4 linked regions of the Notamacropus eugenii genome follow. The protein of the gene in region 4 purifies or fractionates together with the protein of the main gene of each other region. This does not show direct contact. Links are inferred from orthologs where the notes say so. Each region holds a gene or a part of one and is shown on either strand. Other genes may lie near its edges. The genes, in order: PTPN12, PEAK1, DOCK4 and GRB2.

What was found.
Region 1: the proteins of GRB2 (region 4) and PTPN12 purify together in Homo sapiens (affinity purification with mass spectrometry; 3 studies listed by BioGRID and IntAct, with this or other methods). This does not show direct contact. The link is inferred for Notamacropus eugenii from reciprocal best matches to the Homo sapiens genes GRB2 and PTPN12.
Region 2: the proteins of GRB2 (region 4) and PEAK1 purify together in Homo sapiens (co-immunoprecipitation; 3 studies listed by BioGRID and IntAct, counting the BioPlex papers as one, with this or other methods). This does not show direct contact. The link is inferred for Notamacropus eugenii from reciprocal best matches to the Homo sapiens genes GRB2 and PEAK1.
Region 3: the proteins of GRB2 (region 4) and DOCK4 purify together in Homo sapiens (co-immunoprecipitation; 4 studies listed by BioGRID and IntAct, counting the BioPlex papers as one, with this or other methods). This does not show direct contact. The link is inferred for Notamacropus eugenii from reciprocal best matches to the Homo sapiens genes GRB2 and DOCK4.

Annotation. Positions count from the first base shown.
Region 1 is NC_092874.1:153,756,837-153,763,984, reverse strand, and holds the start of PTPN12 (tyrosine-protein phosphatase non-receptor type 12), read right to left. Parts: upstream 3,018-7,148; 5' UTR 2,555-3,017; coding exon 2,456-2,554; intron 1-2,455. UniProt on the Homo sapiens protein: Dephosphorylates a range of proteins, and thereby regulates cellular signaling cascades. Dephosphorylates cellular tyrosine kinases, such as ERBB2 and PTK2B/PYK2, and thereby regulates signaling via ERBB2 and PTK2B/PYK2.
Region 2 is NC_092872.1:257,226,024-257,233,044, forward strand, and holds the start of PEAK1 (inactive tyrosine-protein kinase PEAK1), read right to left. Parts: upstream 3,008-7,021; 5' UTR 2,921-3,007; intron 2,641-2,920; exon of another isoform or gene 2,537-2,640; intron 2,344-2,536; exon of another isoform or gene 2,151-2,343; intron 2,021-2,150; exon of another isoform or gene 1-2,020. UniProt on the Homo sapiens protein: Probable catalytically inactive kinase. Scaffolding protein that regulates the cytoskeleton to control cell spreading and migration by modulating focal adhesion dynamics. Acts as a scaffold for mediating EGFR signaling.
Region 3 is NC_092874.1:141,836,226-141,843,384, reverse strand, and holds the start of DOCK4 (dedicator of cytokinesis protein 4), read right to left. Parts: upstream 3,018-7,159; 5' UTR 2,685-3,017; coding exon 2,648-2,684; intron 1-2,647. Other genes in the region: ZNF277 (zinc finger protein 277), read left to right, coding at 3,351-3,429. UniProt on the Homo sapiens protein: Functions as a guanine nucleotide exchange factor (GEF) that promotes the exchange of GDP to GTP, converting inactive GDP-bound small GTPases into their active GTP-bound form. Involved in regulation of adherens junction between cells.
Region 4 is NC_092873.1:341,472,183-341,479,824, forward strand, and holds the start of GRB2 (growth factor receptor-bound protein 2), read right to left. Parts: upstream 3,008-7,642; 5' UTR 2,695-3,007; intron 1-2,694. UniProt on the Homo sapiens protein: Non-enzymatic adapter protein that plays a pivotal role in precisely regulated signaling cascades from cell surface receptors to cellular responses, including signaling transduction and gene expression.

The sequences.
Region 1 (7,148 bases), on a different chromosome or scaffold from region 4:
TTAGAGTTGGTGTGATGAGACAGACCTTAGTCATCAAACCTTGGAACTGGAGTCACCAAGCAATGCCTTATAATTATGGAAGCAAACTGAGATTGACATTTTTTTATTTCTCTCTCCCTAAGCAGATATACTCAGAAATGAAATAGTTTAATTAATAATTTATCCCTGGAAGGCTTGTGTCTAAAACGTAGAGTACACAAGTTTTCTTCCCCAGGGCAATGAGAGAAAAGCGGCCTCTACACAACTCAAAGGAATCTAAGAAAAGTCCCAAAAGGTATTTCACATTTCCCTAAAGATATACTAGTATTGGGAACCTGAACCTGAGGTAATGATCATAAAGCTACAGGTACCGAATCATTAAATTATGTAATTCTTCTCCTTCATAAGAAAAAGTCTCAAGTATCTAAGTGAAGTAGATAAAAGTATCCAAGAAGAGCTAGAATAACAAGAAAACAAATGAAGAGATGAGCAAAGATTACAACTCCTCTATTTCTTTCATTCCTTAGCACTGAAAAAAATTATTTCTGGAAGTTTATATTTTAAAGTAAACATCTTCATCCATCATGGTGTAGTAAAAAAAAATTTAAAATAGGACCTCCCCAAATCCCAGTTACTTTGAAGAATGACTCCATTTCAAATTATCTCAACATACTGAAAATTCTTATCAAAAAAAACCAAAACAAAATAACTTATTTACATTTTCCTCCTAAATGTAGCTCTATTTCTCAAAAAGCACAGAAAAAGAATGAATGAAACACACAAATCAAAGAAAAATAGCCATTTCCGGCTGATAGGGTTAAACCACTTGCCATACACTCTTTTCTTTTTTTCTCCTGGGTAAAATTTTATCACTGCAGCCCAAATATACATTTTCGAAATAAGCTTCAAATTATGGTCATCAACCTATCTTTGTTCCTTATCTTATGTTACAGGTTTCAGGAAAAAAAACACGAAAAATCACAAGGCTCTGTAAAGTCATCACAATTCATTTTAAAATCTACCATCTAAATTCCCTACATGTGAGTAGGGAATTCTGCAGTAAAGCTTTAACCTCAAGTCAGTGGGTACTTTGCTTTAGCCTAAGGATAACCTGAACCTTAAAAGAAATCCATCTGCTCTCTTCGTTTGGATGTTTTCTCCCCAGCCCTCTCTGTGGATGCCAGCACTACATCTTTTTCATTTTCTAAATATAGTTATGAGACTATGCTCCCTCAGGAGCAAAATCCTTCCCAAGCAGATCTCAGCTTTTAACTCCCTCTCCCCAAACCAGCCCTGGAAGGAGTAAGCACTTCCCAAAGTCCCGCTTCCTCCTCCATTCCTCAGACCTCCAGGGTTTCCAACGCCCCAGAGTCTTGCGCAATATCCGTAGGAGCAACAGCAGCCACCGGCCACCTCCCACCGCCTCCTCCCAGGACGGGAAATAATTCTTGAGGGGTCATTGTCCAGAAAAAAAGGGGGGGGGGGGTGAATAGAAAATGGAAGGATGTTGCCTTTATGAGCTCCCCTTCTCCAGATATCTAACCTCACTGAACTCATCTACCTGCAGACAACTTTACGTCCTTCCCATCTGTCCAGCCCCGACACTGAATGGGAGGGGGGCACAAGGGGGAGGAAGAGTGAGGAAGGTTATCTCCCAGTTCAGGCCTCCAGCCCAGAGAACCATCGCCTCCGCCCCATCCCAACTATTGTTCCCAAGTTCCCCACCCCCACCCCGGATAGGAAGTGATATTCACATCCCCTCCATTGCCTTGCACAAAATCCCCTAGGAAAAGGCTTCCTTCAGCATTATTTCCCTGCTGTCCTCCACCTCACACACACACGACCCCAATAACGTGGGCTCCAGGCAGGAAGCTATGGACATCTTGGTACACTGAACACGTTCTCTCCAGGAGATGCCTCCTGCAAACCTGGGGGAGAACCTGCGATACCCAGGCGCGGTCCAGTCCTCCCCCAATCCAACCACCCAGAGCTCCAGACACCCCATGGAGTTGCTTCATGCGCCCTACACACCGATTGCACCCTTCTCCCTTACCCCCCCCCCCCCCGGAAACGCCAGGACTGGGAAGAAAACGCCAGCCCCAAGCCCCCGCTGCCCTGACCCTTTCCAGACACTCAAAGCAAAAAGCTGGGCGGACCGAGGAGGGGCTTCAGGGCAGCGAGAAGGTGCCAGAGCCACTTACCCCAGCGCCCCGCCAGAGCCTGGGGGGTGTCCGGGGCGGGGGCAGCGGGGGAACAATAGGTGGTCTCCGAGACCGACGAAGGGAGCCGCCGCCTCACAGCCACTCCCGCTCCGCGGGACCCGAGCTCGGGGCGGCGGCTGCCCCACCCCCCGCGGCCGCAGGAGCCCCCGCGCCCGGCAGGTGGGCGTCCGCCCCGTCGCCCCCGGCTCTCGCTGACACCCCCTCTTCAGGCACGGGCACCCACACAAAGCGACCCCGGGCGGGGCAGAACTCACCATGAAGTCCCGGGCGAAGTTGTCCTCCCCATTGTGGTCCGGGCTCTTCATGGCCTGGACCCTCTGGATGAATTTCCTCAGGATCTCCACTTGTTCCATCGCCTCGCGTCCTCCCGGCGGCTGCGGCCGCTGGCCCCCCCGCCGCCGCCCGCCCGCCCGGCGCAAAGCGCGCTCCGTCTTCCCCAGGTCGCTCCCCCTTCCCTTCCCCCCCTCCCTGCCCGACCACCGCCAGCCCCGGCGGCCCCTCCCGCCCGCCTGCTCTCCCGCCAAGCCCGGCCGGCAGCGGCAGCGGCAGGGGCGGCACCGGCGTCCGGCGAACACCCGCACAACTTCCAGGAGCCGTACGAAGGGAGAAGCGCCGCGTCTCAGCACCAGCCCCAGCCCCCAGCTGGTTCCATCCTCCTTCCCCGCCCTCCGCCTCCGCCTCCGCCTCCGCCTCCGCCAGAGACGCCGCCGCCGCCGCCGCCGCCTTCGGGACGCGACTCCCCTAGGTTGCCCAGCCCCCTCCGCCCGGCACAGTCGACCTCTTTCCCCAGGCGCGCGTCCCCGCCGCCGCCCCGACGCGACGCGCGGCCCCGCGACCTCAGCCCCGCCCCAAACGGAACTCTCTGTCAATCCTGCCGGCCCTTCTCTTCTCTTCCAATCTCCGATGTAAAGCACGGCCCCGGTCCCATCCTTCGGGTTCCAACTGGCTGGAAGACCCGTCGCTTGACTGGTGGAGCGATCACCGCTCTCCTTCCGGGGCCAGGGGTTCCGCCCCTCCACTATCCTGGTGGTGAATTGGCTATCCGGAGAATTTGCTCTCCAGGATATTGTAGGTCCCCCGGAGAAGAGTTCTTGTAATCTCATAGGGCTTTGCCTTTACAGGACCCAGTAGGACTTCTATTGGATCGAGAGTATGTCGCTCCCCATACTGAGGAAAAATACATTCCCGAAAATGTTTAAGTTCTTCCTTCCTTTCCCCTTCCCCATCCCTAAGCTAGAACTACAATTCCCAGCATGCAACGTTGATGGCGGGAGGAGGGGCCGAAGTGTAAGAGGATAGTGTCTGTGAGGCGGCCTGGGAAGAGTGGGGCTTACTGGGAATTGTGGTTCTTGTGGCTATGTCAAAAACTGCTTTAGGTGTTCAGTAGTCGTTGAATCTTTCTCTGTTTCCTAGTGCACGGATGAAGCTGACGGGTTCACTAGATGGGGGTGAAGCTCTTTGGGAGGAGCTTACTTGCTCCCCTCAACCGCCCCATGAGGAAGATGCTCATACTGCTTGGGGAACGTGCAGACTGAACAAGCACAGCACCGCTCGGCACTGTAGAATGCAGAAGTTTAAGCTCTCGAAAGGATCTCCGACATCAACTACTGTTAACTCCCTTGTGAAGAATTTTAAAGTTGACAAAAGGCTTTCCTCATCAGAGCTCCGGGAGAAGGTTGCAAGCATTCTTATTCCCATTTTAGAGATAAGGAAACGAGAGCGAGAGAGGTCTAGAGACTTGCCCAAGGTCACTAATCTCATCCTCCAATGCCCCAGTTTTTAAATTCTTTTCAACATCTCACTCAGATCACTAAACCTGAAGAAAACAGGCATGGTGGATGTTATAATGGATAGAGAGCTGGCCTGCTGTCCTCTGCGTCTTGGTTGCCCAGACTCTGTAAGGCTGTAAGATGCAGAAAGGTTGGTTGGAAGAGGGGGTTCATCCCCAGGAGCTCCCTAAACAGATGACGTCATAGATCCAGTCCTAAAAAGATGTTTTACACACGTAACAAAATGTATACGTTATACATGTGTATATAATTCACAGTCGGGGGGGGGGGGGCAGGGACCTCAGCACCCCCCTAGTCCAACCCATATATGAAGGAAATCTAAACTGTAACATCCATGCAGTGGGCATCTGCTTGAAGAGAAGCCCAGCACTTCTACGAGAGCCCTAACAAGACAGCTGGCATGATTAGCAAGTCTTTTCCGATGCCAAGCCTGAACTGACCTCTTTGCAGTTGCCACCCTTTCCTGGTTCTGTCCAGCGAAACCAGAGAGAACAATCTACCTTCTCTATGTGACAGGGCTTCAGATATCTGGAGGTAGCCATTCTGTTCCCCACTCCCCAGCCTCAGATCATCTCTTCTCCAACCTTTGCTGCAACTAACCCTCATAGGTCACAGACTCAAGGCCACTGACCGTCTTGTTTGCCCTGCTCTCCACACTCTCCGCATGCAGAATCAAGCACAGTTCTCCCCAGAAGGTCTGAGGAGGGCAGGGTACGCAGGTCATCGCCCTGCTGCTGAAACCTCCGGGTCTCTTAGTGGAGCTCGAGACTGCATTAGGCTTCTTGTGGCTGCCGCAGCATACTGTTGATTCGTATCGAGCTGGTAGTTAACTAAGACCTCCAGATCTTTTGAAGAACAACTATTGTTTAACTGTGCCCTCCCCTCCTCACTCCCCATCTTGGATTTGAAAGTGGATTTTTTTCCCCCAAAGTGTGTTTCTCACTATTAAATTTTATCTTGTTAGATTCAACCTGCTGCTCTGACCTGTGGTATCAAATTGAAATAGAAATGGATCCCTGGGGGCCATATATTGACTTAAAAACCACAAATTAATATTATCTATGTTGTCTTTTTATATATTTTGTTAAACATTTCCCATTTACATCTTAATCTAGCTCAACCACGCTTGGAGTCCCACAGGCAACCAGTTTGACACCTCTACTCTAGCCTGTCGAGATGCAAGATTCTTTTAAATGTTATCCCTACGTATATTTTCATTGTCCTGTTTTCAGTTATATTTAATCTTATAAAATAAACTTGTGAGAAAAATGCAAAGCAATTGGATCTGGAAATTAAGAAGATACTGGTGACTGTGATGAGTGCAATCAATGTAGTGGTGGGATCAGAAACTGAATTTCAGTGGGATAAGTTAAGAATGAATGAGGAAAGCAGGTATAGACAATTTGTTTGAGAAAATTATCAATTAAAGTAAAAAGAAAAGTAGCATATAGGCTGGAGGGAGGGGAATCTAGTCAAAATTTTATTTTGTTTTATTTTTCCCAAGATAGGGAGGCCGGTACATATTTGAAGAACATATTTGAAAGATCCAGTGGACAGAGAGGATTTGAAGATGTTAGTTAATGATTCTTCAAGGATTTAATATCCCAACTCTTTGCTTTTCTTCCTCTCTTCTCTGGTCTCACTTTTTAATCGTTTCATTGCTCATTAGCCCCACTATTTGGAATAATTTGTCAAGAAGCAGAAAAGAACATGAATGCAAATCAGTGAGTCTTGCTACTTTTCCAGAGCTCTCACTAAAGTTTAGGTGAGAAAAAGAATAAATCTAATTGTCCAAAAGAATTTTCAGATTCATTTGCTTCTTTCAAGTTCCTAGTACCCCTTTCAACACATTAGCACTGATAATAATGCTTTACACTATATAATAATTTTAATTTTCACATCACTTTCATAGCTATTATCTCAGAAAAGTTTGCATTTTGTGATTTTCATAGCATTATAACTCAATTTGTGAATTACTTTTATTGTTTCTTATGCATCGGGAAAGCAATTTGATAGAATTTTCCTCATCGTACAGGTGAAGAAACTAAAGAATGGGGATTTAAAATGACTTACACCATGTTAGAAAGTAAATGGCAGAAGCAAGGCCAGAAACCCACAGGGCCTGAGTTTCCAGCTTGTTGCATAAACCACTGAGTCATTATGCTTTTGTACTGGAATCATGTGTGTGAAACTAGCAAAGGAGATTAAATCTACTCCTGAGTATCTCCCTAGTAACACCTTTAAAGGAGAATAGATAGATAGATAGATAGATTAGACGATAGATGAATAAAAGATAGAAAATTGGATTAGATAATAGGTGAATAATAGATTAGATTACAGAAGAATAAAAGATAAATTAGATATATCAATAAATTTTATAGATATAGATAGGTGAAAGTTCATTCTGAACCTCTGATACAGGAAACCGCCTGATCCTCTCTAAATTCTAATCGATAAACATAAAGGAGAAATAGAAAGGGCTCTTTTTGCCTATGCCACCCTGAATCTTTCTCCCCCACCTCCTTTATGAACTGGTCTCAAAGAAGTATTGGTTTTAAAAAAGGAATGTTATTTTTTTCTTAGAAATTTTACATTAATGCATGTAGAAAACATTGTATTTTCTATTGTGGGATTTCTAAAAAGGAGATTGTAGAGACAGCAAAGTCAAGTCATGCCATTCCCTTACTCTTGTCATTTAAGAAATAGGAAAGAGATTTATGATTTTATTGAAATACAGAATTCTCTGATGAGAAAATTCTCAATATAGATATCTCTCCACTAAAGCATAGTGCCATACTGCCTCTTGTATAGCATGTAAAACCTTTTAAGACCTAGTTACAGATTACATTTCTAGGTTTACTACACATTACCCACTCTTCATTCGAGCTAAAACTGTTTATTTTCTCTTCCTAGAGCTTGGTATTACAGTTCCTGCCTCCCTGCTTTTGCATGCCTGAAATGAGCTTCTAGTCTAGGCCTTTTACAGTTCTAGCTTTATTCAGGGCTCATTTTATGTGCCCCTTCCCTTGGAAAGTCTTCTCTTATCTTTACACCCTCCTGGATCTCCTGTTTACAGTAAACTCCTAGAGGACAAGGACTATTTTTCATTTTGTCCTTGTATCCCAGCACTTAGGATGATGCCTTATGCATTTTTGTT
Region 2 (7,021 bases), on a different chromosome or scaffold from region 4:
AGAAAAGGCACCAAAAGCTACCAAGGGACTGGAGCGGAGCAAAGAGGCCTCCTGCTGAGCCTGACCTTACCCAGAAGCTCATCCTGCACTTCTCCCCAGCTTCATCCCTCTGCCTCCCACCCTGTGAAAGCTCCCTCCTCCTCCTTCTCCACCAAGGGTGCCCGGATCTCCTCCGAACAAGCTGGAAAAGATAAGTGCCAGTACTTTGTAACTTTCCCAAGCGACTGTTCTATTTCTCATTAGATTTGCGTTCATCTCAACACCTCTGCTCCCTTCCGGCACAGATAGTGCTTTATTCATCTCTGCATCCCCCTCCGCATATATCAGGCACTTAATAAATGTGTCTGTTGATTTGAAGGCTCTGAAGCAGCCATTGATTTCATGATACGAAATCTGCACCAGAGGCCACAGCGGAGTCCCTACCGATTTTCACAATCAATGAAACAACCAAAAAAAGTGATCTGGCAGGTTGCAACACAATCAGCTCTAACACAGCACCTGTTTCATTTAAATAGCACAACATTATATAGTTAAAAACAACAAATCGCTCTCATAAAGCAAATGCTAATCTCATGATGTTTCACCATTGAGCAATTGAGAAGAGCAAGTCTACGAAATATGCCAAAAAATGAATTTATGGCCTCTCCTCATTTGGCAAATGTGGTAGGTGTTGTTAAATGTTGAAAAACACATATGCAAATAAGCAAATAAAGTTCTGAAGCTCAGAGACTTCAACATTTACATTAGCGTACATGTGCACAAGAAATGTTTACAGGAGCATAAACACAACACTTTCCAGGAACACATTTTTTAAAAAAAGGCGATTCTCAAAAAACAGCTATGAAGAGCGAATATTCTCGGAAATGGATTCCAAGGCCATATTAAGAAGGAGGGGAGGCATCACCAGACAAGGCGACTCCTAGGGAGCGTTCCCTTTGTCCCTCGGCGGTCCCTGTCTCCCAAGACAACAAAACCATCCCCACCACAGCCACTCATGGTACATCAAAAAGCGACACTAAGGACAACAACCTGATAAAGTTCTCGTTCTTCCAGAGATGACCAGCGACGCTGCGTTCCCCAGATACGCCCCCGACAGTCACGGAAGAGCACGCTCGGTGCATGTCCCCGGAGTCTGGGTGCGGGCCACAGCTAGTCCTGGCCGGCGCCCCCAGAGCCTCCAGGGCCGAGGCTAGACAGCCCCAATCCCCACCACTCTGGCCAACAAGGCTCGCTCTGCCTACTTCAGTGATTCTTAACAAAGTGAGTCACTACAGAGCAGCGAGCAAACACTCCAGCAAGTCGGCGCGCAAAGATGCCTACAGAGGCCGTCACCGAACGGGACCAGAACCGCTCCGGGAAGTTCTGCCCCCTCGGGGAAGCCCAGGAGCAGCGAAGGGTTTAACCGGGGCCCCTGAACCTTCACATCCAAGACGGCGCTGCCTCTCGCCAGGATCGGCTTCCTCGGAATCGGAGGATTCGGAAGCACGGGTCTCAGCCCTCCCCCAAGATGCACTGGAACCTTCCGGCCGGAGCCGAGTTCAGGTGAAGCGCTCCGCCCCGGCCACCGCTTCCTTTCCCGGTCTCGGTCCAAGGACGCCTAGAAAGCCCCGGGTCCAGGAGCGGGCCGCCTCTCAGCTCATCGCGAGGCCGAGCAGGAGCGTGCCAGCTCTGCCGTCCCCAGGCCGAGGGGGAGGAAATCATACTTTTCCTCTAACTCATCGCCCCCCATCCCATCCCAGAAGGTTCCCGAGGGGGACTGCAACAGGGTAGCGGCGGAGAGGGCACGCGCACACTCCCACTGCCAGCCCCTGCTTTCTGCCGAGCTCCGCAGCAATCCCGGCGGACCGAGTCCGGGCTCCAAGCTTTGAACTTGGCCCGCAGGACGGACCGCCCAAGGAGCCCCGGCCCCGCACTCCGGACCAGTGGAGGGGAGGGGGAAGGGAGCGAACTCCGCAGAGGGGCCAAGCCCCGGGCCCCGACGGCAGGGGCACCCCGGGGGGTCCCCGGCCAGCCTCGGCTCCTCGCGTCACCGCGGGCATTCCGGCCCCCGCGGGCGCCGCAGTCTGAGCCCGCGGCCCCCAGCTGCCCTGCCAGGGCACGGGGGGGCTGGTCCCGCGGGGAGGGGGCTCCGCCCGGGCAGCACGCCTCACCTGGAAGCCGCGGGCGCCGCCGCCACGACCACCTCGTCGTCCGTCTGTCCGCCGGCCCGTCCCGGCTGGGAGGGGGCGGGAGGCGCGCGGGCGGTCCCGGCCCGGTCCGTCCCGGCGCCGCCGCCTCCGCTGGAGCCGCCGCCGCCGCCGCCGCTGACACTCACAACAACTAACTAACTCCCCGCCGCCGCCGCCGCCTCCGCGCGCCCCCGCCAGCCCCCGCGCGCTCCCGCCCCGCCCGGCTCCGTGCGCGCCGCCGCCACCCTGGAATGTGCGCGCGCGCGCTTTCCCTCCTCCGCCTCTCCCCTCCCCCTTCCCCCCGCGGACAGGCGCGCGCGCGTGCCCCACGGTCCAGGGCGCTCCCCAGCCACCACCCAAGCACCCACCTCTTGCCCCGCGGATAGGGGAAAGCACCAACACGCGCGCACGCGCGCGCGCGCGGAAAGGGCCAGTCACCCCGCGGCCAGGTAGCCGAGGAAAAAAGGGGCGGGGAAACAGCTGGCCAAGGGGATTTGATTGGCTTGGGGGCGGGGCTAGGATAGGGGGCGTGGCAGGTTGGCGCGGGGCCCCGCGGCCGGCCTGAAGACCCGGAGCTTCTGGGTTTCGAAGGGAGAGAGGAGTAAAAAGAGAGTGCAAACTAAGTACGAAGCGCTTCCCCTCCCCGACTCCGTTCTCTTTTCAATACAGACGCGCTTTGGTTAGGCCTCCCAGAGTCTGCAGGGGGCGGAGTAAATAAACTACATCTCCCAGCAATCTCTGCGAAAAATCACCTTGTTCGTGTGCACGTAGGTTCATTCCGCGACCAAGAAAAATAATCCCGAGAGTTTTTCGAGGAATGCGGCGCGGCAAGTTCCACTTGGCCTTGAGCCACACCGGAAAACCGCTAGTGTTCCCCACCGAGTCAGGAATTTACGGTAAGGTAAGCTCTCCAAGGCGCAGAGGGGGCGGGGGCGTCCGTGGCGGGAGCGGGGAGAGGGCTGCGGTGGAGGGATCCGTGCGTCGAGGCGTGAAGTGGTCCGCAGCGGAGAGCGAGCGCGTCTGCAAGGGACTGAGGGAATTGTGCTCAGTGCGGGGGGCTCCGAGGAGGCCCGCGGCCTCTCCCTGCCCGCCGCCCGCAGGTCAGTAAGCGCGGACGACCCTCGGGGTGGCCCGCTCCGAGACGCCGAAAGAACCTCGCAGACACCCCGTCCTCCCCCGCTCCCTTCCCCATTGTTGACCCTCAGTTTGCCTGGTTGCAGGCTGGCCGGTTGGGGGGCCGACTACTTCCGGTGGTGGGGGGAATCTGGGGCTCCTTGGGAGAGGGACCACCTACTTCCGGCGGGGGCGGGTCCGGCCGAGGGTACCTGCTCACTTCCGGCGCAGGGAGCGGGCGGAGGTTAGTGGTCTCGGTGAAGGTTCCCCCACTGCCCCCACAGGTTGCTTTCTCCATTCCCGTAGTGACGTGTGGCCCCAGGTCTTTATTTCAGCTTCATTTCCGGCCCCCACCTGCGCACCTGCTGCCAGCCTCTGGCTGCCAGGTAGCCTTTGATGGAGGAGACGCTGCGGGCTGGGTCCTTTCCCTCGCGTCCGGGGGCGCCATCCTTCCGGCCTGAAAGGCCGATTTACCGAATCCGCTGCTTTCTCCCGTACCCTCGGACCCCGCGGTCCTCGGCCTTGCCCACGGTCACGCGTTGTTACGTGGCTGAGGGGCCCCACGCTCCCCGTGCGGGTTTAAGCTGCGGAGCCTGCGGGGCAAGGGGCCGAGCCGCTGCGGTCCGGTGCTCGGGAAGCTCCTTCGGCTGGAGGCAGCCCTGAAGTTTGAGGTCAAAAACAAGCTTTTGATTTACTCTTGGAATGTGAGTTTTTGTAGGGAGAAGTTTCCGTCGGTGTCTCCAGTGCCTAACAGACACTTGGGAGCTTGACCCATTTTGACACGAATTCAGTTCTTGTTACAGGCTTCCAGAAGAATTCACTTCTAGTGGGAGCATTTAAGTGATGTTATGTTAAGAAGACGGCCAGCTGGGGCCGGGGATGGAGAGCTGGGCTTGGGGTTCGAATCGAGCCTCCTGAGCCTCCCCAAGTCACTTCATTTCTGCCTGCCTCAGTTTCCTTTGCTGTCAGATGGGGATGATAACAACACCCACAGGGTTGTTGAAAAGATCAAATGAGATATTTGTAAAGCGCCTTAGCCTCTGCTAAAGGTGTCTTATTTAGAGTGGGGTATGGGGTAGAGTGTAAAAAGTACTGGATTTGAAGCCAGTCATGTTCACATCCTGGACGTGTGTGACCCCATTAGGCAAATCACGCAACCTGTCTGAGGACTTCGTTTTCCTTATCTGTACAATGAAAGAGTAAAAATAGATTTCTTTAAAAAAGTTTTTTTATTCATTTCCTTTTTTACATTCCTGTTCCTTTGCAATGACTTCCCCTTTCCTAACCGCTGAACCTTTCCTTGTAACAAGTGCAATCAAGCAAAACAAATGAACACATTAACTCTGTATGTGAATGTGTGCCTCCTTCTCCACAGGGGTCCATCCCCCCATCCCTTCCACCTGGTGGTAGTATGCTTCACCAACATTCCATCTCCCATCTCACTGTCTTTCCCCTGCCTTTCTTCAGTCCCTAGAATGCACTCCTCCTCTTTACCTCTTAGAATTCCTACTTTTAAAGCACAGCTTACAAGGTCCTTTCTACTTGAAGCCTTTCCTCATCTCCCCAAAAGTTAGTACCTCCCCCTGGAAATTGCCTTGTATTTATTTTATATATTTTTGGTAAGAGAGAGAGTGTGTGTGTATTGTTTTCCTAATACAGAGTAAGCTCCTTTCTAGGCCCTGGACTAAAGTCCTTAGCCTCTAGGAACTGTTTTGTTTCCCCATCGTATGTCAATCTCTGTGCAATCTCTTGATATGTCGTTAGGTACATAGTAGGTAGGCATTTAATAAATTCTTGTGAATTGATTGATGGCAGAATTGGTCACTGTATTGATCAGAGCTCTGAAGTCATTTGATTGTATTTTCTGTTACATTTTTGTGGTCAGCCTATAAATTGTTCTTTTGGTTCTACTTAACTTGAATCTGCTGAATTATCTTTTAGGGCACCCTTCAACTGCAATATTCTGTTCTTCAGGAAGCCTGAAACATTTAGTGTTTTGTGAAAGCTGATTATTTAAACCTGTCACTGAAAAGGCTATAAATTGGCTTGATTTGAAATAATTTAGAGATTAAAACTATTAAATTTATTTCTGTTGAACTTCTAATAAACTGCTCCATTCACTATTAACCAGCCTCATAATCCAAGATGAAAATTACAGCTTGTTTTCTTCATCTTAAGCTTTTTGTGGTTTTTGTCTTGTTTTTAAGGAAAAAAAATGTTTATTTGAGGTCTCTAAAACTCAGTTCTTAGTTTTTGGTTTGTTGTATTGGGTGAGGGGAGAGTGAAGGAAGGACTTGCAGAATTATAGATAGAGTACCTTGGGGGGGTGGGGGGAACAACATAAACAAAGTCAGGCCAAAGTTTAATGAAAGAGAGGAACATGCAAATGACCTCCAAATAATTAGCAAGATATTTATTTCATTATCACAAGAATGTTTCATTAAAAGGAAAATAGAAGTGTTCGTTATTTGTTGTGCTATAAGACATAGAGTATTGTAGACTCATCCTGACAGATTTGGAATTATGGAAATAATAGGAAATTGTGAAAAAGTTAGAGAAAAACGATATTAAAATGTGAACTGAGGTAGTTACATTTCCTTAGTGTAGTTGGAAAGCAAAGGAGTATATTAAGTTGGCCTTTATGATGTTCCACTAGAGAAATGCAATATAATAGAAATAAAAAAAATTGCTGTAGCTTAAAGACTTGAGCAGGTTGAAAAAGTGTCTGTTCAGAAGAAAGCAATACATAAAGCACATATCTGAGAAAGGATGTTTTCTGATAAGTGGCAGCTATTTGTTGGTTCTATTAAAGGAGAAATATTAGAGGAGTATGTGCAGAGAAGAGAGGTGAAGACCATAGAACATTTTAGAAAGAGAGTTATGTGGAGAAGCTGATGGATTTACTATGTGATAGAAGAAATTTAAAAATATGCTTGGCTCCTGTTTTTGTTATTTTTATAATCAGGACAACAAAATTAGAAAGTAAACTTAGACTGTATTTTGGGGACATGACTAAAATTTTGTTTCAGTGAATTATATAGGAATCTGCACTCCTAACTAATAATACTCAGATTGCATGATAACTTATGTTACCAAAGCATCCAGGGATCATCACACTGCCCAAAGTAGTTAGGAATAAGTCAATAATACAAAACTCAGTGCTTTAGCAGAATTGATAACATTTGTCATCTTTTACAAATTTTTACTCTTTTGGAACATAGACCTTTGAGTAAGAATGGACTCCCAAAAATCTACTTCAATCCAGTGTTAAGTTCCTTTACAACATCCTTAACAAGTGGAGATCCAGTCTCTATTTTGTGGTGTAGAGCTCACTCAAAGGGCAGTCCATTCCATTTGGGGATAGCTCTCATTTGAAACCCCCCCCCAAAAAATTTGTATACTTTGAGCTGGAATTGGCCTTCCTGTGATTTCCACATTTTACTATTTTTGTTTTTCCTTTGTTCATCTTTTGTTCTATCCAAAGTATACTAATATTCTTGAAATATTTTTATATCCTAAAGGTGTGAGTAGTAGGCAATATTTTCTTACCTTATAGATGTTTTTCTACTTTTTTTACCTTTTTTTTTAACCCTACAAAAATTGCAGTCTTTGACTTTCCAGATGGAAATCAAGGACAGGAAACTCAATCACCACCTCCCTACTTATAAGGTTATAGGGTATGATCATGGTTTGAATAGCATCCAAGATACAACCTAAAATTTGTATGATCCTGCTTCCAG
Region 3 (7,159 bases), on a different chromosome or scaffold from region 4:
GGTTGGAAAGGATCAATTTATTTCAATTACTGATGAAACTGAACTGAACCAAGAATTGCAAATCTTTGATAACCACAAAATACTCTTCCCTGGTATTCATAAGAACTACAGAAAACACACACATTTATATCAAGGGTAAAAGGGAGGAGGAGGAGAAGAAGCCTTGAAGCACTAACAGCCACAAATAGTTCTCTCCATGGTGAAGAAAGAAGCTCCGCATGCAGGAGTATCCTAGCAAATTTTTCTCAGTACTCCAAAAAATTCTAACAGATGGATGGTGAACAACTAAGCAACCACAAGCCAAATGCTTGAAAAATAATAAAAAAAAATATTATTAGCCCTCAAAGGTTTGCAGTATAAATGACAAAGGGAAGCAATAATTCTGGCAAGAAATACTCATCTTTCCACTCTCCCCCTTCCTTTGCCACCTTTTCCCACTCAGATAAGTGGCCTCCAAATCACAACTACCACCACACAAATCTGAGTGATTTTGCTGCAGCTTGAAATACTTCACTGATAATATCCTGTTTGCTACTCCAGCAAACCCTAGAGTGGTTTATCAGACCCTGCCCACAGCAGTAAAGAAAAGAGACTAGGGGAGCTAATCGATACTAGCAACCCAGCTGTGACCTGGCACATAGAAAAATAAAAGAAAATGAATCCCATCGATAATCTCTATAATTTAACACTTGGAAGAAAGCAACATCTGGGATCAACTCCAAATGGGACGGGGTTGCCCTGAATGGGTCTTGGCTTCTTGCACTAATTGTTAAACCCGGTGCAATGAGATGATACTGAGATGATACCCTCTTCCTCAAGCTCAGAAACAAAGACAAACTCTTTAGGCTTCTACCTAAATATGGAAAAAATATAAAAGCGACCAAGGAAAAGAAGGAAGCTGGAAAGAATGGCTGTCAAACATACTCCAAACACATCTAGAAGAAACTATTGTCTTGCTAACCACTCAACACAGAACGAAGGCTTTTAGTAGGTCAAGCAAAAGATGAGCTGACTTTGTTTAATCACTTCACGAAGTCAGTTCAGAGGACTCCACGGTCTCTCCTCCAGGCAAAATTGGGGAGAGAGGGTCCCCTGTGAAAATGACTCCCACAAACAGCACTTTGATCTTCCTTTTTTAATTGCAGGAAACGAATGAGATGGGAAGAAAGCAGATTTTCCACAGTATCCACATCTACAGAGATTTGCCCTTTTCAAAAGCACTGCCTAGCGGCAGTAGATGGCAGATAAGAAATAAGGGGATAATAGATAAATTCTATAAATGTTCTGATCTCAGAGAGACCTTTAGGGCCGTGGTTAGCCCGTTCGTGTTTCAGGACCTTCACTGAAAGCCCCATTTCTTTCTTTTCTTTTTTTTAAGGCAAATCCTGAAAACCCAGAAAGAGGGGAGGGGGATGGGGAGAAGGGAAGAACCCAGTTTAATTCAAACAAGAACGGGAACTCTAGTCCGTATTAAATGGGAGGAGGGAGAGGAAGGGAGAATCCAGCGTTCATCAGTCAACATTAATGTCCTTTGTTGTTCACCTTTGCACAGAGGAGCGAGTGTTACACTGTTTTCCTTTTTCTCAAAACGCCAAAGTCAGACAGGTCTTTCCTTAAAACGTACCCTCCTGCCTCCGTCTGACCCACGGCTATCCCTAGCTCACTCCCCAGAACTGAAAATGCACTTTCCAACTGACCCCCCACCAAAAAAACCCCACCCCACGCCCGGCTCCCCGCAGTGACCCCAGGATCGGACCGGACGCAGTAGCCAGAAGTGGAAACATAACCAAGTCCTCGTTCCTTTTCAAATGACAAGGAAAGGGAGCAATTCAACGGAAATTCACAGAGAAACTCCCCCAACCCTCAAAAACACTTAATACAAAATACAAACAAAAATGTGCGGGGGGGGGGGGGTGGAGAGGAGAAGGGCGTTGGGGAAGGAAATAGAACGGGCTCAGTCTCCTGTCAGAATTGTCCTTTGTAGATTATTGCACATTTTGCACTCTGGGGATGTTCATGCGAGCCAGAAGGAAGGGTTTGCCTTCCCTTTCTGGTTTTGTTGGTTTCGGGTTTTTTCCCCCTCCCCTTCCTCTCTTCTCTGTCCCCAACCCTCCTCCCGGGAAATCTCTGCAGCTGATTGTCGTTTCAAATCCCGGGGTTTGGGGGGGAAGGGACGAAGGGGAAGACTAGGAAAGGGGCTCGCCCTTTCCCTTGCAACTTGACACACACATGCACCCATCTCCACTTCCAAACTCCAAAGACGGAGATGAGAGTCGGCAACGCAGAACTAAGGGATCCGTTCCCTTTGCATCGGCGGCTGATCGCTAGCCAGCGGATCTGAAAGCGGAGGGTGGTAGAGAAGGGGGTGGGTGCGTAGGGTTTCGTTGGGGCGGGCGCGAGCCCCCAATCCAGCGAGTTGGGGGGGGCAAGGATGTGTGTATCTCTCTCCGCTTTGAGATGATCTGCATAGCACAGCACCGTATCAAGGCAAAAGAGGGAAACAAACGGGGGACTATATTATGCCCCAACTATCCATTTCCAGCCTCACCTAAATATAGGGGGCAAATAACAAGAGCAGAAAAGAAGAGAAAGAGGAAAATTGCAAGCCCAGGAGAGAGAATAAAAGTTCGCCCGGAGAAAGACTCACCTACGCCGTATTTCTCGTGCTCTGTAGGTATCCACATGGCTGAAGGAAGATTCTGTTGTCCCTCTCTCACACCTCCTCTCAGGAGCTCAAAACAATAAACCAGAAGCCAGAGTAGCAGCAGCAGCGAAAGGGCTAAAGGCAGCTCAGCGCTCTCAGTCCTTGGGCAAGAGGGAGAAGGGTCAGGACTGGAGCCTGCCCAAGCGCTGACAGTGCGCGGGCTGTGCTCCGACTGATGCTAAGGCTGCTCGGGCTGCTGGAGCTGGGGCCGCTGCTGCACCTCTCCGCAGCTTCCTCAGACGCGCTCCCGGGGATTCAGACGCGCAGGCATTGTTCTGATTCACTGAACTAAGCGAACACGCCGGGGCACTCTCGGGCGCACCGCCCCCACTGCTTTCCTCCACTCCACTCCCCCCCTCTTCCCTCCTCCCTCCTCTGCACTCCCCGATGCATGGTGGGAAGTGTAGTTTTCCACCTCACTCCAGAGAAGGGACAGGACACCCTAGCGATTGGGGTGGGGCTTATGGAGGTCCCTCCCATTCTCCCTTGTTCGGTTCTGCTGAATAAGAGCTGTTGGTGGCTACGTTGGGGAGTGGAGGAAAGGCTGAAGTTGGGGGTGGGGTGAGGTGAGGTGTAAACTGAGTCCTAGGTTCTCATTGGAACTAGACCCCACCTCCTCATTTCTCTCCCCCACTCTCCCAGCGGAATGGCTTCTCTTGGGATTGAGGGGGCTGCAGCTGGAGAAGATGGTGCTGGCGGCAGCAGCAGCAAATTCAGTGATGCAGGTGAGTTTGGTGGCCCCCTTGAAGCAGGGCCCTTGGTGCCAGTGGCATTAGTTTTCTTTCCTGCTTTCTATTCCAGTCGTCCCTGCTGCAACACAAACCCTCAAGTCAAACTGACTTGTAGGAGCTAGCCAGAGTCTTAAAGGCTGAGCTTTCTGCAGCCACGTGTGCCCTGGGAATGGCGCTGTGAACCCGGGGAGGGCAGGAGGCGGAGGCGCATATTTGGCAGCTGTTTGCCTTAGAGCGGGTGGAGAAAGGAGGAGGAAATGCCACCTCCCCTCCCCGAGCTGTTAGGGAACCCTCTCTTGGTTCTTCCCTTCCGGTTCTGAAGTAGCTCCCCACTTGAGCTCCTACCCGTTCAATCGGTTTCGGTTGGGTGGATTGATTTGGGGGCGTGTATGTATGGCATTGCAAATTAGCAAGTCTTTCCACCTCCATTTCCTCAGCTTAGACTCTTTTGGGCTTTGTTTGGCATCAAGAAACTTGTTTTATGTGCGTCTTGCGTCTTCCAGGTATGAAATGTTCGTTCCTGGACATTTGTGTAGCGGTATCTTACAGTTTTCTTCCGCACTGGAGGAAGGCTGTGTCCGCTGACCTCTCTGGGATCTCTGCCAAAGTCTCCTTGAGGGTAGAATACTGTTGCTGGAACTCTTGTCAGGGAACCGAGGACATGAAGGAAGGGAAGAGGAGGAGAGAGCTTGCACTCAGCTTCAGAGACGATTCAGAGGTCTCTGGACTTTTCAGTAACACTCTTTTGGGTTGCGTTTTGGCCATCACAGTTACTTTTACCAGTCTATGGGTTTGGGTTCTCTGGAGGACTTTTGTATGGTGTCAGAAATAAGAAACTAAACTTTGAGGGAGGAGCACCCTGGGTCAGAAACTAAATTTGGGGGAGGAGCCTCTTTGGTGAGCAACCAACTTTGGGGGAGGAGCCTCCAGGATGTGTCTTTTCTGGGATTTTAGGTGCAGGATCATAAGGAAGCTCAGCCTCCTCGTTTTACTGATGGAGAAACAACAATCACAAAAATAGGAGCGGGGAGAGAGTTAAATTACTTTCCCGGGGGTGCACAAGTAGTGAGTGACCGCTCCAGTTCTGCCTTCTGCCCACCCGTCTCAGATTGCTTTCCTACTTCCCGGATTCTTCCTCCTTTCCCCTGAAGGAAAAGAGGGCCTCCGGGCAAAGAATGCAGAGAGCTGTAATAGTGATTTGGAAGTTGCCATTTCAGGAGGGGAAAAAAGTTATTTTTGCCCTAGATAAGGTTTGATACACCTTTGCTGAAGGCTTTTTTGTTTTGTTTTTTGCTTTTACAGTTAATAATTGTGTGGTCAAAAACTGAGTCTCATCACCACAAAGTTAAAAGTGCTGTTACCAGCCACTTCTATTATCAAAATTCCCTAACCCTGAAATTATTTTTTAAAAGTACCTCTGTCAGTGCTATATATCTTAAACTGGCTGCTGAGTCAAATGTTTATCCACCTCCACATCCTAGACAGTTAATTATTGAGTTATTTGGTATTCATTTTGGTGGACCAAGTGCTTGACCCAACTCTCATTTGGGGGAAACATATAATTAAAGTTCTCTAGATGCTAGCATCTCAAGAAGGTTATTTAAGACCCAGAGATGTCACATTTAGAATTGTCAACAAGCTGACTGTTGAAGAGAAAATGATTCCTAAACTTTCACATTTGTTTCTACAAGAGGTTCTTAAAATGGAAATGGACCAAAATGAGAAAGCTGAATGGAAAAGTGACTCTCAGTTTTTTGTTTTAATGCCATTAGAAATTCCTGAAATCAGCATTAAAGGAGGGGACAGTGTAATCTAATGAAGGACTACCAAAAGATGGACTTGAAACCATTCGCTGAAGACAGTTTACAAAATTACAGGAAATGGCTTCCTAGCTCAGACCAGCCGTTATCTCTCTTGGAATGGACAAAGGGATGTTATAAAGAGAAGCCACCGTGGAGTGCATAGAATGCTGGACTTAGAATCAGGAAAACCTGAAAGGCATTTATTCTGTGACTCTAACTAGTCATTTAACCTCTTAGCCACAGTTTCTTCATCTATGAAATAGGAACAATAATTACTAGCTTAAAGGCTGTTGTGGGGTCAGATGAGATAATATGTGTAAACAAGGCACAAATCTTATTACATCATAAATGTCACATTTATATTAGTTGACTTTCATAACATCGCAGCACACATTTAGCATTCTACCCCCAAACTCCCCTTTAGTAACCCATTCATAACATTACATAAAATTTTTCCAGACTACTTCAAAACTGTAAATTACTATAAAATTTAAAAGAGCATTGTTATCAAACACATTTCTATTTTTCATCAGTAAAAACTCAGCCTAATAAAACATGCATTTTTTGTTTTTTGCCTGTTGTGTATTGTAGTATTCCCACTGAATTGATCTAAAACAACTCCTTCAAGATATGCCTTCTAATTCTAAAGTAGCATGCAATAATGGAAAGAATACTGAATCTGGGAACCAGAAAGCCTTGCTTTGAGCTCTGGCTCCACCTCTTACTAACTTCGTGACCTGGAGTAACTTAGTCAATAAACATTTATTAAGCACCTACTAAGTGCCAGATGTTCTATTAAACCCTGGGGCCGCAAAGAAAAGCAAAAGACAATCTTTGCCCTCTAGGAGCTCATAATCTATTAGGGACAACATTATGCGAGCAACTATGTACAAGCAAGTAAATTATGGGGAACTGCTCTGAGACTCCATTTAATTATCTGTAAAAAAAAAGATAATATTTGCACTTACCTACTGTGCATAAAGCAGTTTTAAAGCTATGAAGTGCTATAAAAGTCTAGGCTAGTACTTGTAAGATTTTCTAGGCCTAGCCTAATATCTTAGTATGAGACCCATTCCTATGCAATGGGGAGTTATGCTCAGGGATGGAGGACCTGTCACTATTGCCCAGATTCCTTCTTTGATATATTTGGTGTCGGATTTTGGAACAGTACAGCACAACACTGGAGATTCACCTACCAGAGACATCTTGGGGAAACATGGAGATGTCACATCTGCCCCAGGATGCCTCTACCAGAGGTTCAGCAGCCAGTCATACAGAATGGAACTTGAGGAAAGCTGGCAGAAATACCAGAGGTGTTCTTGCAAGCTTCCCCCTAGCCACACCTGAGCATTCACTCACTCCCACGAAAAGCACTTGAAATTAGCCTTCTATACCAGGTGCTTCTCCCAGACTCCTTTGCAGGAGAGGGCCCTAGCTTGCTCAGGCATTTGTTCCTAGCGCCTGGTATAGGTGCAGGTGGTAGGGGAGGGACTCTCTCAGCAGTATCGCCAGTCCTAATGAGAAGTCTGATGAAAACTCTTGCTTTCTGAGAAACTCTAGGACTACAAGGATCCCAGAAATTTCTCATATCACCATCTACTACTTCAGCGAGAATTTATGAGTGCAGTTCTATTTTCTACGTGCCTATCATGTGTGAGACACTATGTTAGGTGGCTAGGACCAGATTAGACCTCAGAGATCTAAACTCCATAGAAACCACACAGGTCTTGCCTTGCTCTTAAGGAGGTTAGGGACTAAGGACTAGATGAGGACACATGTACACAAACAATTATGATACAAGCAAGAGAAATTGTGAGTAAGGTTTTGGCAAGATGCTGCAAGGACAGGGTGATCATTCTTGTGACGGGGAGGTCAGAGAAGATCCCACAGGTAATAATGATGATGCTAGCAGATAGTTATAT
Region 4 (7,642 bases):
AGAAACAATGAAAATGATATGTAAATAGTCCTAACCAGAACTGGGATTGGCTATAAGGCTAGTGGTGACCCCAAGGTGTAAGGGGAAGAAAGAGGTTGCAATGGCAGCTTTAACATTATTTTTAACAAATCCCTTTTTATTGATGCCTTTTGCTTTTATATCACATTCATTTCCAAATGTATTTTTCTACTCTTTTCCTACCCTGCATGCCTTGTTTTAAAACATATCTAAAGAAAAAAATTAAACAAAAATTCATCCACCTGACAGTATATGCAATATTCCATACCCATAACCACTATCACCTCAACCTCTTTCATGAAATGAAGGAGGTGAAATACATGCATTTTTAATAGCAGAACCTGTCTCCTAGGAAGGTAGGCATTTTGTAGTAGGTCAAGATACATAAGTTAACAGAAAAATGGAGTACACACCAACCACAACCATACAAGTGAATGAGAATGATGGACAAAGAATCCTGATGAAGACAGAGGAAGCAAATGAAAAAATTATAATACTTTGTATCATGAAATTAATTTAAATACAATTACAATTACTAAGTAAAAATACATGTATTACAATGAAATCTTAAAGCCTCAGATGGATCATAAGACACAATTTTTAGACCTTGATCAGAAACCACAAATGCTTTGTCCTGGTATCTGGTACACAAATCAAAAGATCTTAAGATTTGAACACTACGGCTCCAAAAGAGAAAGCTAATGTTTCTCCAGGATTTCTTTTCTTGTCTAGGACTGACTAGAGGATTCTCAAGAACAAGACAAAGAAAATAATGATAATATGAAGAGAGAGGACCTAATCACAGTAAATAAACGAATATAACTACCAAGGGGTACACTTTAATTGATTCACCATTGGGCTAAGGAAGTTATTTTCTACTAAGGTTTTCAATAAGTTCTAATAAGTGATTTTACAACTGAAGTGGACCCAGAAGAACCTCAACTCAAGCCTTCATTTTTAAAAATTCACAGCTGAATCTGTCTAAATCCATATCACTCTCAGAAACCCTAGAATAATATAATCCTTAATATAATGGTGTCTGACACAGGCATAGAGAAAGGCCCCTACAGGGTACAGCAAACACAAAGGCCCAAGCTACAGTGAAAGAGATTAGAAGAAAATCAATACAAATGACATGAGAGAACTACACTTATGACCTACGGCAGTGTCAATTACTTAGGGATGAATTCAATCCTTTGAGTCCACTAAATCCCCAGAGGGGAGCCCGAGTCTCACATGCATCTCTGGCAACCCTTCTGGTTGAATGAAAAAATATAGTGGAATGTATATAGCATCTGGCTTGGTCCTTCTCAAACTGAAAGACAGTTACTGCTACACTGAATATAGGTGAAAGAACAGGAACAACAAAGTTAAAATTTGACCATTTTCTAAAGAAAAAAAACTCAAGCAAGCAGAAAATTGATGATGCACATAAACAAAAAGAAATCTGTTAATGATGAAATACAGATATCCATTGGGCACTGAATAGAAATGAGTTAAAGATGAGAGGATAACCAAAATTATTTACATGATACAGGTGTAGGTAGGGAGGAATCAGCCTGTAAAGGGTTTGTTTGGAAAGGCGGTACTCATAAAAATTGAAATAACAAAACCTAGAAATTCCTTTTCTAACATGCCTGGTCAATTCTTTTCAATTTAAAACTAAGTAATACCTGAAACCAAGCTCTAATGCATACTCCATAATCTCTTCTTCAAACTGAATTTCAAATTACTACCATAGATGAAGATGTCCAGAATTATTTTCTAAACAGGACATGGTTTAAATCAGTTTTACATTAAAAGCTTTCCAAAGAAAATTTCTAGTAATTGATTTTATTCTCCCTACACGTCCCACTTCCTTGCTTCAATCACACCAAATACTTCCCCCCCACCGTGATGCTAGTTTAAAAAAATAACAGAAACAAATGCACTTCAAATGGTTCCCTTATCCTCTCTTCCTAGAAAAATGCAGGCTTTGTGGTGAGTTCTCCGAAGTTGAGGAAAAATAAAAAATCAAAATCTTTCCTGACACCAGACAGACAGCAGCTGACACAGAGGTGAGTGCCGAGCATGTCAGAGAAGGGACATCCCCACCGCCCTGGCAGTCTCTTCTGAATCCCCTGCTTCCTGCATTAAGTCTGACACAGAGAATTATTAGTCATTTGCCTTAGTAGTTACCAGAATACAGTAAACGATTTCTGCTTCTCCCCGGCCTGGGTCTCCAAACGCTCAAGCCAAAGACAGACACAAAATGAAATCAAGAATCCCCCAGCAGGGGAGCTGCACAGCCTCTTCTCTGGGGGTCCCAGCATGGGAGAGAGAGGGCGCTGGAGGAGGGGAGGTCCCTAAGGACTAGACTGGGGGGATGGTTCTCAAAGAGTGGGTCACTCGGAACAGAGCCCCCCCGTGGAGGGGGCGTCTCGAAGGGAGGTGTCAGTGCAGGTAGGGACTGCTGCCTCCCGGATCGGGTGGGTGGGGTGAAGGGACGGAGGCACCGGCTCTTCCTTCACCCCCAGCAGAGGTGCCACAGCCCCACAGCCCGAGGCGGCCCCGAAGCTCAGGACCCGGCCTCCCCCTCAGGGCCGCCTCCCCGAGGAAAGGGAAGAAAAAGGAGTGGGGGGGTGGGGAAAGAGTCGGGCCCTGCCCTAGCTTCCCCGCCCGCCGCCCCGCACTCACAGTGGCGCTGAGCTCCCGCTCTCCGCCCCGCCGGCCCGTCCACCCGCAGCGAGCGGCCGCCGAGATCCCGGCGCTCCCCGCAGAGCAGCGCCCGCCGCCGCCCGGTAGCCGCAGCACCAGAGCCGCCTCGCTTCCGCTCCTCCGCTGTACTCCCGCGAGAACTTCCTCTCCTCCGTCGGCCCGGCCAGGCCCCGCCCCCCCGGGAGACTTCCCTCTTCCTCTCCTTCTCCCCCTCCCCCCGCCACCCAGTAAAAGGGGCCCCAGAGCGCAAGCGTTCATTCCCCGGCCCTGCCCAGCAGGTGGGGGAAACCTTCTCGGAGTCTCCCTTTGCGCAGGCGCACACGCGGGCGCTGGCCCCCGGCCCGCCTCCGAGCAGGTGTCATGGGGCAGGCCGTCAGGCATCCACCCTTCCCCCACCTCCTAAAGGAAGCTGTAACTGTTTTCAGAACCAGAGCAAAGACGCCACCTCCTGCCCTCCAGACTTCCCTCTCGCCTTCTCGAGGTGGTTTGTAACTCTTTCCTACCCTTGATCGTTTCCCCTTCCCCTTTTCCTGACATCGCCCCAACTAGAAATTGTAAAAGATGAAAAGAGAAACACATCGCCCACTATGAGAATACCCTAAGGATGGTAAGAGATAAGATAGGGGAAAAAGGCTTCTCTGTACCAAAAAAGGGCATACCAGTATCATCCTTCATCGGAAAAAAGAGAACCTGGAAATAACACATGTCTAAAGATGTGGGAATGACTGAATAAATCGTGGTACAGGAACATCATGGAATTATACATTTTTTAAAATATTGGCAGATACAAAGTGAGTGAAGGAAAAAGAGTCAAAACGCCTAAAAGCAAACGCCTAAAAATTACTAAAGAGAAAAAAATGATTCAGAAGGAGAAATAGAAACAAAAAAGGACGTTTTTGTTATTATATTGTTAAAGTATACAACTTTTTAGACAATTTGTAAATAATTGGGTTTACAATATTATTTATGTAACATCCTCTCTGGAGTATCCCCCAATTTGCATTCATACTTGAGATTGGGGTCCCCAAAGGATAGCTGGTACTCTCAAGTTATAGAGTACAGACTGTGGGTACCTACTCCTACAACTACAATTCTAGAACCTCCACTGGTGTGCTTACCATTAACAATTAGTTAACTGACATAATTAGCCCTTAGCAAAGGTTTAAATGCCTAAGATACCATAGTCCAGTCAATAAGCATTAATTTATTAAGTAGCTACTATGTTCCAGGTACTGAGCCAAGATCTAGGCTTACAAAGAAAAATTAAGATCCCAAAACAGTTCCTGCCTGGAAGTTCACAATCTAATGGGGGAGACCGCATGCAAATGACTATCTACAAACAAGATATATACTGGATAGATTGGAGGAAATCATAGAGGGAAGGCATTAGCATTAAAGGGGACCAGAAAAGGCTTCTTACAGAACATGGGATTTTAGGCTGAGTTTAAGAAAGCCGGGAGGCCAGAGTAAGAATAGAGAAAATTCTAGGCATGGAACAGTGAAAATATCTAGTCAGAAATATAGTGTCTTATGTGAGGAAGAGCAAAGAGTTCAATGTTACTAGATTGTAGAAAGAAGTAAAGGGTAAAACACTGGAAAGGCAGGAAGGAGCCGGATTATGTACATTATCTATAAAACATTTTCTTCAGTAAAGCTGGGGTGTACCCTCCCGAACATATACTCAGTGTTAATGGGATGAGTGAGCCTATATATGGTATGGGGGGAGTATGGAGTATGTGAGGGCTTGCTCAGTCCTTTTCAAGGCTGCTCATGAACCTTTAGTATCCACATGTCATCGAATTCTCACCTGTGTCTCAAAAAATCTGTAGCATGTACAGCATTGACATCCCAGGAAGACTATCTTGCAGATAGGCTAAATGAGGTTGAGAGTAACCAACGAACCTCAAATCAGTTGGTAAGCTAGGGGGATAGCTAACCAAAGCCTGTGAAAGCTTCCTCCCATCCCCATGGAATGGGTAGATGAAAACAATTCATTCCAACTACCACAAAGGTGGCCAAAACAGGTGAAGTGCTTAGAGCTTAGTCAGACAGCAAAGAAGCCAAGGTCACTCCCTGCATCTCAGGCCATCGGTAGTCACCTTGAGTTTTATCTTGCCACCGGATTTCTATGACACTGGAAGAAGGAGTCAGACTGATAACTTTGTGCAACTCTGTCTCACTTCAATTCAATTCATGTGCAAGTCAAGACTACCTGTGATGTCATTGGCTCCTCTTTAAAAATGGACAAAAAACAACAAGCGAGGCTATGTACAAAGAAAATATGTGGCCAAAGTAACTCTTGCCTTTGGCTCTTAGGAGCTTTAATGTCCTTCCTCTGCTTGTAGAATCTTCTGGAAGGTCCTCCCTGGGTACTGTGTTTCTGTTGGATATGGGCAGATGGGCTACTAGAGGTCCCACTCCATAAAGCTTCCTGAAAGCAGTCTCTCTGTGACTACCTGAAGTATGTGTGTGTGTGTGTGTGTGTGTGTGTGTGTGTGTGTGTGTGTGTGTATTCTCTCAGCTATGCCTTGAACTCTCCTGAATTCATTCTCCAACTGCTGAACAGTAAGAAGGCCAGTTTAGATGCATCAAAAGGTATGGTTCATGAATTAATGTATATTAAGACTAGAAAAAGAGGTTGGAGTTAGGTTATAAACAGCTTTAAATGTCAAACTGAGAAGTTATATTTGACCCTAGACATAATGGAGAGTTGGTGAAATTTATTGAGTAAGAGAGTGATGCCTCTGAGAAATTGGTGCCCATGAAGTTGTTTGAGTCCATAACATGAGGATTGGTTGAAAGAACTGGTTAACACATGCAGGTTGCTTTAAAGATTTCCCTTTGCCAGGAGAGTCAACACATTCTTCTGAGCAGAAACCTTTTTAATAGAGACAAGGTAGGGCTAAATCTAGCTGAACCAGTGTTTTGCATACTTTCTGAATATTCTTTCCATGCTACTGTTCATTGAATTTCCTTTTTGTTAAATGTTAGGTGGTAAAAAAAAAAAAAAAGTTAGATGGTATACAGTTGGCTTATTTCATTCTATTTCAAACCTGAACCATGAGACCAGACTGAATCTGGGTAATTGTAATCAGGGGAGTATGTAACTGGTAAATCATTTGGATAGAGGAGTTTGAGTATCTGTGAGTTATCCATTTTGGAATGCCCAACAGGTAATTGATGTGGAAATATCACTCAGGAGAGAGACTGAATCTGAAAATTTCCTTAGAAAATTGTAGAACAGATCATTAAAGAGATGGTAGGTCAATAGCTAAGAAAGCAGTGATTACAAAGAGTCAACATGGCTTCATCAAGAACAGGTCATGCTGTACTAATCACATTTAAAATTTTGACAGCGTTAATAAACTGGTAGATGAGAGCGCTGTTGTAGATATAGCTTACCAAAGTTTTAGTGAAGTTTTTGATTAAAAAAAAGATATATTATTCTTGTGGAAAAGATTGAGATATGAGTTAGATGATAACAAAATCAGATGGCTTCAGAACTAGTCAGATGGACAGAGTCAAAGAGTAACTGTTAATGATTTATTGTCAACATGGTAGATCTACAATGCAGTACCCTAAGGATCTGTCCTTGGCTGTGTGTTGTTTAACATTTCTGTCAGTGACTTGGATAAAGGTATAGATGACATGCTCATCAAATTTTCAGATGATACAAAGCTAAGAGGGATAGCTAACGGTGGATGATGGAGTCAGAATACAATAGGATCTTGATACCTAGAACATTGAGTTGGATCTAAAAAGATAAAATTCAATAGAGATGAATGTAGTGTTATACTTGGGTACAAAAAAATCAACCTCAGAAGTATAAGATTAAGGAAGTATTGTTAGATGGCAGTTAAAAAAAAGATCTGAGGGTTCTAGTGGACTGCAAGCTCAATATGAGCTTGAGAGTATCCTGAGAAGGGCAACCAGAATGGTGAAAGGCAGTGAGTCCATAGTATATAAGCACTAGTTGAAAGAAGCAGGCAGTAAAAATGTTTATAGTAACTCTTTTTATGGTGGCCAAGAACTGGAAATTGAGGGGCTGCCTATCAATTGGAGAATAGTTGAACAAATTATGCTATGTGAATGTGATAGACTACTGTCATGTTATAAGAAATGAAAGGAACAGTTCAGAGAAATCTGGGAAGAGTTGTATGAACTGATGCAGCATTGAGTGAGCAGAACCAAAGAATAATTTATACAATAACAATAATATTGCTAAGACAACTTTGAAAAACTTGGGAATTCTGATCAATGCAATGACCACCCATGATTCCAGAGGACTCATAATAAAGCAAGTTACCTACCTCCTGAGAGAAGACAATAGAATCATAGTATAGACTGAGGTATTTGGGGAGGAGGTGGCCAAGGCCATTTTGGGGAATTTGTTTTGCTTGACTATGCATATATGTTTTTTAACAGGGAGTTTGTTTTTCTCTCTTACTCAGTGAAGACAAGAGAAGAAATAAAAGAAAAAGTGTATTTTTATTAAAAAAAGAAATTTAATTTTAAAAAATAGGAGTAAATAGTAAAAAGGAAAGAAGAAAGGAAAGATAGAAGGAGAAAGAAAGAAAAATTAAGAGAGAAAAGGGAAGGAAGGAAAGGAGAAAAGGAAGGGAGGAAGAAAATAACCAGTTAGGTATGTATAGTGTATGGAACACTAGAACTGAAGTTGGAAGACACTTAAAATTTGTGTAACCCCAAGCAAGTCACTTAACCATTGTCTGCCTTAGTTTCTTCATCAGCAAAATGGGGATAAAAATAGCATCGATGGATACCATGGGGATTGTGCTAGACAATCAAATAGGAAAAAGTAAAATGATTGCCTTACAGCAGTGAAGGTCAATTAAATTAGATAACAGATTTGTAGTGGACCCAGTCAGCTAGGTGGCTTGACTTCTTCCAGTTCCATTCAGCAACATGC